Neurospora crassa OR74A: one gene and its partners. The protein of the gene in region 1 interacts with the protein of each later gene in a pairwise test. Links are inferred from orthologs where the notes say so. Each region holds a gene or a part of one and is shown in the gene's direction. Other genes may lie near its edges.

Region 1 (3,048 bases):
TAGTACGGCAGAATTCTTGGACATGACCATGAATTTTGATTTTACCATTATGTACGATGGATGTCGAGATGTCTTCCCCCGCACTCGATTCAACTTGTCATGTATGAGCCAACTGTTGTCACTACCTACATCCACGAATGAGGACGTGTACAAGTCCATGTATGCACTTGTACCCTATTGAAAACTGATAGGTCGTCGAAACCATGCTCCCGTTTGCTTCACCTCCAACGGGATCCCTTTGACGGTGGGGGTAACCAGCCCGTGTGTTGTCTAGGCGCAGTGTTGGAATTCCTCAACCCTTGAACTTGGCAAGAGTGTCCTATTGCAGCAAAATGTCAACAAAAGGGGGTCAAAAAAAAAGGGGGGGGCGTGGTTGTGGGGAAGAAGAAAACTGACCGCAGTGACTTTCTTGACACTCCGACCTGTGATGCCCCGTTCACCCCCTTGCTTGGCTTCGATGGTAGCCTCCTTCATGAGGCTGTCAGAGTGTGTGTTAGCGTGATACCGTTTCAGAAGGTGTGAGGAAGTGGTTCCTACGTTTGCATGAACAAAACATAATCGAGATAGATCTGCGACAAACACGATGTTAGTGCGACGCGTTGGATTTTGGGAATAGTGGCATTTTTATTGTTATCTTCGCTTACCATGACATCGACATTTTTGCTAACATTGCAGTTAGCGTGGGCCTTGACAATCTTCTTGACCGTTGCCCGCGGGTATGCTTTTTGGCCGGGCATATTTCCGCCCAGACTTCTTCTTGCAGTTGATTGAATATCGTGACAAGACCTAGGATATCCCCGATACCATGTCCTTTGCTGCTGTGAATAGGCCAACCGTGCCCGAGGTTGATGTTGATGGTCACTATCAGGGCAGATAGATGTGTTGTTTTGATGTTTTGGCGTTGCGCAGAGGACTTAGCACTAACACAGACGTTGTGACCAATCGGGTAGCAGAGCCCCAACCCCACCATGAAGTACAGTGAAAACCCTTGTAAGAGCAACCTTGTATATGAGCAACCCCCCCTGTATTTGCAACAGTATGGGCCAAAACTCTCTTTTTTATATGTGTAAGAGCAAACGAGTATACAGTAATAGTCTATTTAGTAATTTGCTCTAAAGTAAGGGTACTTCTCACCCAATTATAGCCTTGATACTACTTTATACCCGCTATTTACACACTTTTTACATTAGGGGATGGGGAGGTCTGGGCGCCAAGGCTTTCCTAGAAGTGCAGGTTTTGGTAGTATGGCCCGTGCACCCTACCCCAGCACCAGCAATCCCCCCTGTTTGAGCAATACTTGTGGCCGGATTTTTGGTGTTGCTCGTACTAGGGTACTGACTGTATGTACCTGGGTAGTACCCCCCCCCCCCCCCCCTGGCGTCGATGAACAGCTCCCGTCGCTGTGCCCCTGATGGATTCCAGGTGGGGTCAGACGGGAGCTTCGACGTCGCTTCGGTCGCTCCCTAGGTCGTCAGTCGTCACCACCCAACGACTCTATCTATGTACTGTACCGCTATCAAACATCACCAACCAACTCCACCGGCAAAATGAACCGTCGCATGGTAAGTCCTTGGTCCATAACATCTGCTCTCTCGCGCTCGTCGCTAACCACCCCTCAAAACAGTTGAGTAAAGAGGACGAGGAGGCGGCCGGCGACGAGATCGAGGTCCGTCGCGAGGACCAGGACAAGATCAACAGGTTCAGCCGATTGCACCAGCGCGAACTCGCCCTCGAAGAGGAGCTCAAGAACAAAAACAAGGAGAAGGAGGAACTCGACGACTTGGAAACCGAACTGGAGCTTGTCGAGGACGAGGACGAGCTTGTCCAGTAAGTTGCAACCGTCAGCACGACACGTAGCCAGACACATACTGAGACCCGACAACAGGTACAAGATTGGCGATTCCTTCTTCCACATTCCCCTCGAACAAGCCAAGGAGATGCTCGGCATCGCGGCTGCAAAACTCATCAAGGAGATCGAAGCCCTCGATGACAAGCTTGAAACCATCCGCAAGGAGATGACGGGGCTCAAGGTGGAATTGTACGCAAGATTTGGAAAGACAATCAACCTCGAGACATGAAGCCATGCCCGCAACCCATTTCGCCGGCTTACATCCCTTTCGATGAGTGTGAATAATGCTTCCGTGTACAACACTGGCAACAGTTCCATCGACCAGGGCTGAGCAGTCGCTACCAACTTAAACCACGTCAACAACATGATCAGACTCTTGGGCAAATTACTGGATATAACGTGCATGTTATGTCACTCAAAGTCCCTCAGGTAGAGAGGCCAGACTCGCCGGCAGGTCAAATGCCCAATGAAGCATATCTGCAGCTCGCAGCGCCTGTACTGCAAGCCGCTCGCTGCCGGGCCTCGGCCCTATCACCATATTCCACTGTCAACGGCTGGCTGTCAGTGGGAACCAAAAACACATTGTAAGCCTTTCTCCAAGTCAATACAGCAACTCGGTCCCGGCGCCCTTACCGTACTGACTGAAGCAGGTAATATAACTGATGTCAACCTGGGGCCTCGTAGACTTCTTATCTTGACCATCAATGCCGGAATATGCATTTGCTACTATTTGGATAATTGGAGATGCGAGAATCGCATGTCCCATGCGCTGAGATGTGCTTCAAGCAGGAACGGACTTGACGCCTTGCCGTCGCTTCAGCGATTTAAGATGTGCCAATCACCCGATCCTCGTCCTAATCACCTTACTCACTCTATCGAACGAAATTGTCGCCGCGGACGGCTTGCCTTAGTCCAGGACACGACCTCAGAATCGCCAGTCTCTAACCTGCGTTCACTGGCAGGGCCGGCCCATGGAATGCTGACCACTGTTCCCGTTGATCAGTACAGCTCGAGCCAAAATGCTGCCGACTTTCGAATGAGTTTTTTTTCTTGATGTCCATGACAGAGTTTCCTGAAGTCGATCTGGGAAAAAGGCCTGAGGCTGCAGACCGTGGCGAACAGACATATATATAGATATTGGCCCTCGACGTGCAAGTGACGATACCCCGGATCCAACCAGTTGGAAACAGCCACACCCA
Region 2 (4,026 bases), on another chromosome or scaffold:
CTCGGACAACAACACGTACATGCGGAAGGACGATTTGGCGTTCGATACCGAGACTGATGTGCGGATGGACAGCGACGACAATCGCTTGTCGGACAGCGGCCACAACATGCGGGCGATGATGCCGCGGGCAGAAGCGGTGGATGGGGACGACAGCCCATTGGCAGCCGTCACCGGAAAAGAGGTGGACATGCTGCACACTGGCAGCTCGGTTGCAACCGCTGGTGGGGCAGAGAGTGGCTATAGTAGTTCGATGGAGGACGTCTCATCCTCGTGAGACCTGAGTGGGTATTTTTCCTATGTGAGAAGAAGACGCGGGGAGCATACGAGAGCAAAAGGAACGCATTGCGGCTGGTGTCAGGAAATCAGGTACCGGTGTTCTCGAATTTTTGGCTTTGGCGGGCAAGCGGGTTGTTTCGAGCGCGCGGGTTCTTGGCTTTTGCCATTTTCAGGGGAGTTGCAATTGTCGCTTTTCGGGGACTCGATACGCATGATGGATATCCAACGAAGGTGATTGCCGGGTGAGGGATCTGGATCCCATGAATGGGGCGGCCATGGGTGGTGGGTGGTGGGTGGAGGGAGGGGGTGTTGAGTTGGGGACTTTTTGGGGCGTCTGGGTTAGTGTTGTTTGGATTTCAAACGGTGTGGCTTTTGGGTTTTTTTCTCTGGCTATTTTTTTATGGGGGGTTTTATCTTTCTTCTTCATCTTTTTATTTCTGATATTTTTTTCTTGGCTTCCTTGTAGATGACTCCGTGTGCAGAAAAAAACATACCTGTTTTTTTAAATTCGTATCAACGATTCGCAGTAGTAGCAGAAGGCCGGTGACATCAGTCGCAACGGGTGCACCCGTAAAATAAGGATTGGACTTGGTGGTAGGTCTGATGGGGCATGTAGTGTATATAGGATTTCAAAGTGAATCGATCACTAGTCCCGGTTCGTTGTCTCCACGATGGCCTCGCTGCCGGAACGTTTTGATGATCGAGCGGTAATCGTGGATCCCTAGGTCGGGCGTAAGACCCTCAGCGCATTATCAGCAAGCCCCTGATTAATCCAACGCTGGGCGGGCTACACAGACAGTATCAGGGTCGTCATCACAGTCCAACGGTCGGTTGTTTGTTAGCATGGGTCTTCTGATGAAGCCATCGCCAGCAGTACCATAGCACACAAAAAGACATGTACAAATATCTCAATCCAGGAAAAGACACGTCAAAAAACGAGGGCTTCACATGATCGTTTTGATTCCAAGCCTTCCCGATCCAGTGAAGCACATATGCTTGGATTCACCCGCCCAGAAACTCCCTTGACTCAAGGTCTCTCACTACCTAACAAAACTTTCCAGAGGTGAATTGTACTGTACGCGGGCAGGGGCCTGCCCCACCTTAATGAAATCGATTCGACCGGACTCCTGGCTGCAGGCGGGGGAGCGAGCTCAGCGAGGTGCGGGCGGGCAAGTCAGCCCTTGGGGTTCCATCCATGACCATATCGCACCTACCTCTACCTACGGCCCTACCTACCTACGTAAACAACGAGCTCGGCGCCAACCGAGGCACGCAAGTGGAAGCTCCCCGCCTTGATCGGTCTTTTCCTTTCCCCCTTACAACCCGACATGTAAGGTCCATACTCAGAATGGCAACCAAAGGAAAAGAAGTAGAAACTGCGGGTCGGTAAGTCAGTCCCAGTTGAACTACCTACTTACCTTACCTTACCTTACCCTACCTTGGCCAAGCATCAGAGCTTATGTTGGTGGTGACAGGACAAAGCAACGTCTTGCCCCTCTTGAACGACGAGTCTCATGTCATCACCCCTAACTTCAACAGTCGGACATGGCTCGAAGTATTCCTCATTGCTAGCATAGCCTAGCCTAGCCTAGCCTACCTATAGAAACACAAAACAAGCTGACCTGCTGCTCCCGCGTTCCGCCAAACCTACAGTGATGCCACGCCCGCGAACCCCCGAGGTATCCCCCAGGCGCCCTTCGTCGACAAGGTCGAGGACTATGTCACGTCTCGCGCGGATGTCGAACCCACCCTGAGGCGGTTCCAAGAGTTGATTGCCAAGTACCAATTCATGGAGCAGAACCTCCAGCGACGGGTGGTGGGCTTGAAGGATAAGATGCCGGATATCCAGAAGACGCTGGACACGGTGCGGTTCCTGCAGATGAGAAAGGTACGACACACACACACGCACACACGCACACACACCTCCGTCTTCAGGGCACGCGAACATACGGGCTATACAGCTAGCTATACAGCGGGCACAATACCAAATGCGCCCGGGGCGGGGGGAAAGGGTAATTGAGAACCAAAGGTCAAGGACGAGCATGAACAACAAGGACGTGGATTGATGTATGGATGGATGGACGAAGATACGGTCGCACACGAACAAGACACGCTGACAAGATCACCTTTTTACTTTGTCTGTTTTACAGGACGAATCAGACCCGATCGAAACCACATTCGAGCTCAACGAGACTCTCTACGCCCAGGCCAAGATCCCACCCACGGACGAGGTGTACATCTGGCTCGGCGCCAACGTCATGCTGTCGTATCCCATTGAGGAGGCCGAGCAGCTGCTTGACTCGAAGCTCAAGGCGGCGACGCAGAGCTTGCAGAACTGCGAGGAGGATCTGGATTTCTTGAGAGAACAGATTACGGTACGTGTTGGGCGGAGAACGCGAAGATGGTAGTTCTGTTACCGATCTTGGAACCTTGACTGACCTGAACGATGCGCCATAGACGATGGAAGTTGCGGTTGCCAGAGTGTACAACTGGGACGTCGTGCAGAAGAGGAAAGAGAAGGAGGAGGAGGAGAAGACAAAAGGAAAGAAGAGCGAGACGGCGTCGGACGGTTGAAGAGGAGATTAGGTCTAATACAGAAAGCGAGGAGATAATGCACCATCACGAAATGCCATGGGAGCGAACGACGGTTGAAGAATGTCTAATAGAGGGAGGCCGGCCGAGGTTGCTGCTGGCCGCGATCATGTGAGACGAGGTTCACGATGGCTTGGTAAGTTGGACTTGATTTGAAAGCAACATGATAGCGAACGATACCTCACAGATATTCTGCGTCGTATTACGCTCAGTAGCCATTTGTTCACGAGACAAAGGAACAAGGGCCACGCAAGCGGTTTGTCGTTTTGGAGAGACTGAAGTGGGACTGGCGAGATGAGGTTCGCTCTGGCCTAGGTCAAGGCTACGACCTCGAGAGATTAAAGAGAATTTGAGTTTGGCGGCCTCCAACGCCCATAGCCTCATGATCAAGGCACGATGATGACTTTTTATATTTCCCGCCCGGGTTCTTGGTTGTGATGGAAGTTACTGTCTATCACTTGGCTACAAGAGAGATCGACGCTATGGCTCATTGTTTAGATTGTCACGATACCTACCGCAAACATACACCGAGATAGCCTTACAACGTTACCAAAAGCCAATCCGAGGAGATCACGTGGCTGAGGGGGCGAGTTTGTCTGGTTGAGTTGTAGTGTAGTCGCGGATCGATCGTCGCCATCGTTTATCAAGTGGTGTACATACCCAAGTCTTATCCAGTCGAGACAGTCAGATGGGCGGGGGGCCAATGCGCATGTAGGCAGGGCGCTCGGGCGGCCGTTGACCTGTCTGTTTCGCTGTCAGTGTTTTGTCAAAAGTGAGCCACCCCCGCCCCCCTGGAAACTGAAACCCCTATTTCGGGAGTGAGGAAGCACATCTGTGGTCTTGACCGCCATGACGACGGCATTCGTTTCGGAGACGGGGTCCCGAGTCTTTTGACTCTGTCTCTGTTTGGTACGGCGGCAGGCGAACGGCAGACCAGGCCCGACCTGAATACTGGATGAGGTGCCCTGCGCCAACAGCAGAAAGCAGCTTAGCGGATGGGGCCCCAACGTCGGGTCCCAAGCGGGCAGGCGGCCCCCAGGGGCAGGCGGAATCTCAGGGGCCCCGGCCCTCTGCAACGGAACCCCAATTAAACGATCTCCATCACGGGCGGGCTCCGGCCTCCTTCCCCTTCCTGCCTGCCTGCCTGCCTTGACTCTG
Region 3 (3,435 bases), on another chromosome or scaffold:
GATCAGCACGCCCTTGCTGTCTTTGCCGACACCGTCCATTTGGACCAAAAGTTCGGTTTTTATCCTGCGCGAGGCTTCCGACTCGCCTTCACCGCGCGGACCGCAGAGGGCGTCGATCTCGTCGATGAAGATAATGGAGGGCTTGTTTTCTCGGGCCATGGCGAAGAGTTGCTTTACTAGACTGTTTTTTGTTGGAAAATCGTTAGCTTCTCAGTCACGATAGTGGCATAAGGACAGAGACAACAGGACAAAACATACCGTTCACTCTCACCCATCCACTTGCTCACCAAATCCGAGCTGCTCACGCTGAAGAACGTGCTCTTCGCCTCTGTCGCCACTGCCTTGGCCAAATAACTCTTTCCTGTTCCCGGTGGGCCATACAGCAAAATACCCTTCCACGGCTGCCTCTTCCCCTGGAACAGATGCGGGAACTTGATTGGCAACAAGACCGCCTCCTTGAGGGCCTCCTTGGCACCCTCTAGACCAGCCACATCATCCCAGCTGATGTTCGGCCGTTCCTGCAGAATCGCGCCCGCCAACGCACTTCTCAGCTTCTTGCTATCCTCATCCAACGCTTCTCCATTGCCATTACCGTCCTCCCCGGCCTCCTTCCCCTTCCCCGTCCCGCCCGTCGAACCCCCGTTCGCGCCCACCATCCCGGGCTTCTTCCGCTTCGCTTCCGCGTCCGCCAGGTGCGCTTTGAGCTTCTCGGCCCGGTCCATGTACTCGCCCGTCTTGGCCCGGATCATCTCCTTGGATTTCGGGTTCTTCTCCCATTTTAGGGCGAGCATGAAGAGTTCGAGCGATTGGTAGTACAGCTGGTAGGCTTTGTCGTACTGGGCGGCGTTGTCGGCTTCGATGGCTTTGCGCACTTGCTCGATGGCGCGGCCGAGGAAGTCGGTATTGGACATTTTGTGCGGCGGCGGCTCGAAGCGTGTAAAGTGATGTCGCGTGAATTCGTGGTTTAGTCGAGTGTAGGATTGGTCGCTCTTCTTGGTACGCCGTAGTAAGCGTTTGTAGTCGTTATACTTGTTTGCTTCTTCGCTCGGACAAGGAGAGTTTGTTGATATTCGCGCGCCGAGGTTCGAAGTCAATGTCAACAGATGGCCATATGCGAGGGAGGAGACCCGTTGATGACGACTGCTGTTGTCCTAGGCTACGGCAACGAGAGTGGCAGAGATAAGGTGAAGAGAAATCGGGAATTGGTCGTATCTTGCGGGCGTCACCTGGCAACGACTACGGCAAGACTGTCTTCTGGCACAAAAAAGTTGGTGTCGCGCCCTGGTCTGAGGTGGAATTGGAGAGGGGAAGATCGTTGGTGGTCTTGTCCATATCTTGGTTAGTTTCAAGCAACGAGGTCGACTTGTCTTGGCCGTTGACCTGGAAGCGCTAGCGTAGCGCGGGGTCCTGTTATGGTTCCCGGCCTGGGGGCCACTGACGCCACTTGTTTGCGCGTGGAGAGAGCGCTGGTCTGGGGCTGTTAGTACTTTGCTTGAGGATACACTCCTGCACTAACAGCTAAAGCTTGGGCACTGACTTTGGGATCTGCTCAGCTCACCCCTGACGATTGACTGCACAGCGAGCTCAGTTCCCCGGAATAGAAACCTCCAAATTCCCCATACTGGAGCTCATCTGTGTTTCTTGTTCCTGCATTTTGATCCATCATCTTCCCTCCCTCACTGTGTCCAAACCCTTTTTCAGTTTTCGAACGTCATCGCCTAGTAACTTTTCAGCATAACCCTGTCTCTCACTTCACATCACCCTCAAAGAAGCAGCCATGGCCAGCCCCCTCCAACTAAAGCTCCAAGCTCTCTCTGATGAGTATCAAAACCTGAACAAAGGTGAGCCCCCCTTATGATGATATCCCCGTAGTTCATTCACTAACTGTACCTCAGAACTCCAAGAGACTGTTCTCGCCAGACAGAAGCTCGAGGCTCAGAAGCAGGAAAACGTCAGCGTGCAAAATGTCAGCTTTTCTCCAAGCATCGCGCTCGCATGCCCAATGCCTTTCGCCAAATTCTGCCCAAGGAAAAAATGGGGACTAACTGAGCACCATGTAGGAGTTCGAGAAGCTCAAGGATGACGAGCAGATCTTCAAGCTAGTGGGCCCGGTGCTGCTCAAGCAGGACAAGATGGATGCAGAGAACACAGTCAAGGGTAGACTGGAGTTCATCAGCAAGGAGATGTAAGTTGAACTGCTGCATGGGATCTTGAGTTACAACGCAACTGACCCACTGTCACAGCACTCGCTTGGAGGGAGTCATCAAGGAGACACAGGGCAAGATTGAGAAGAAGAGGACAGAGATCATTCAGGTCCAGACGAGCGCCCAGGCTGGTGGTGCCCCTCAGGCCGTCAAGGCTTAGACCTAATGAAATCAGTTACGGAAAGAATGTCCACTATACCCAATCGAGATCAGGCGCAGGTACGATTCATCACACAGCGCTCCGGGGAAACTGTCTCGTGAATGCAGTCATAGGTCGATTTCTTTACCAAACGGTAATTATTACGTGATGTATTCATTGAAGATTCCCCCAAGATACCCCTTGACGCCTTGCTCTAAAATCGCTGAATGGGGATAACCAAAACACAACTTACACCCCCCTTCTCCCTGACCCTTACTCATCCACCCACCGACAGACCGCAGCTTCTCATCCTGTCTAGTATAACCTCAGTTCAGCGCCATAATTGTGAACCCCCACGGCAGCCCCATATTCTTGCAACTTCGGCCACTAACCCATGCCACACTATCACTCGACAAATCCTCGCCCGCCGCATTCAGCGAGAGCAGACTACTCCCGCCCTGCTGGGACGCCCGATCCGGATCCTCCACCATTGCCACCACAAAGCTGACCAGCTCGTCTTTGGTATAACAATGGCTCAGCAAGGACGTCGCGCCGATACGATCCAGCATCGTTCTGCGCTGTTCGCTCTCGGCAAAGAGCTGGAGCTCCCTGGAGAGGAGACTGGTCGTCAAGTCTCCTGACCCAGAGTTTGCGAAAGCTGCAGAAGAAGAAGAACAAGCACGCAAGAGCCGCTCAAAAACCATGGCCATCCCCGCAACAGCTTGGACGAACAGCGTCACCTTGTCGTGGTCGTCTAGCCCAGCCTCGATGCGGAATTCCTTTTCGGTCACGAAGGCGAGGCAGGAGGTGTCGAAGATGGAGTTGAGGATACGGTCGAGGCTGGAGGGCTGGGAGAGGAGGGCATGACTGCCATCCGGGAGGGCGTAGGTGTTGGTGAATTGGACGAGGATCTGTTTGAGTAGGGTGGAGAGGCAGGTCTCAGGGGGGACAAGGAGACGGCCCTGTTCGAATAATAGGTTGTCGGCTGCTGCTTCGATGCTGGCTGTTTATGTAGGAAGATGGGGTGTTAGTTTGGGCGTGACGGACGTGAGGGCTGTGAGAGGAGGAGGAAAGGGCTGGGTGGAGGAGTTG

Evidence for each region.
Region 2: the proteins of NCU03401 (region 1) and NCU02264 interact in binary tests that used the Saccharomyces cerevisiae proteins (3 or more experiments, as listed by UniProt). The link is inferred for Neurospora crassa OR74A from reciprocal best matches to the Saccharomyces cerevisiae genes GIM3 and PAC10.
Region 3: the proteins of NCU03401 (region 1) and NCU06941 interact in binary tests that used the Saccharomyces cerevisiae proteins (3 or more experiments, as listed by UniProt). The link is inferred for Neurospora crassa OR74A from reciprocal best matches to the Saccharomyces cerevisiae genes GIM3 and YKE2.

The regions. Positions count from the first base shown.
Region 1 is NC_026502.1:844,840-847,887, reverse strand, and holds NCU03401 (hypothetical protein), read left to right. Parts: upstream 1-1,510; 5' UTR 1,511-1,547; coding exon 1,548-1,562; intron 1,563-1,624; coding exon 1,625-1,827; intron 1,828-1,885; coding exon 1,886-2,078; 3' UTR 2,079-2,433; downstream 2,434-3,048. Other genes in the region: NCU03400 (hypothetical protein), read right to left, coding at 293-319, 397-478, 538-569, 645-737. UniProt on the Saccharomyces cerevisiae protein: Binds specifically to cytosolic chaperonin (c-CPN) and transfers target proteins to it. Binds to nascent polypeptide chain and promotes folding in an environment in which there are many competing pathways for nonnative proteins.
Region 2 is NC_026507.1:3,135,889-3,139,914, forward strand, and holds NCU02264 (prefoldin subunit 3), read left to right. Parts: upstream 1-1,444; 5' UTR 1,445-1,471; coding exon 1,472-1,662; intron 1,663-1,929; coding exon 1,930-2,164; coding exon of another isoform or gene 2,165-2,296; exon of another isoform or gene 2,297-2,343; intron 2,344-2,426; coding exon 2,427-2,651; intron 2,652-2,733; coding exon 2,734-2,850; 3' UTR 2,851-3,434; downstream 3,435-4,026. Other genes in the region: period clock protein FRQ, read left to right, coding at 1-274. UniProt on the Saccharomyces cerevisiae protein: Binds specifically to cytosolic chaperonin (c-CPN) and transfers target proteins to it. Binds to nascent polypeptide chain and promotes folding in an environment in which there are many competing pathways for nonnative proteins.
Region 3 is NC_026507.1:844,181-847,615, reverse strand, and holds NCU06941 (prefoldin subunit 6), read left to right. Parts: upstream 1-1,578; 5' UTR 1,579-1,777; coding exon 1,778-1,841; intron 1,842-1,895; coding exon 1,896-1,966; intron 1,967-2,060; coding exon 2,061-2,185; intron 2,186-2,243; coding exon 2,244-2,364; 3' UTR 2,365-2,669; downstream 2,670-3,435. Other genes in the region: NCU06942 (vacuolar protein sorting-associated protein VPS4), read right to left, coding at 1-181, 259-911; NCU06940 (hypothetical protein), read right to left, coding at 2,670-3,346. UniProt on the Saccharomyces cerevisiae protein: Binds specifically to cytosolic chaperonin (c-CPN) and transfers target proteins to it. Binds to nascent polypeptide chain and promotes folding in an environment in which there are many competing pathways for nonnative proteins.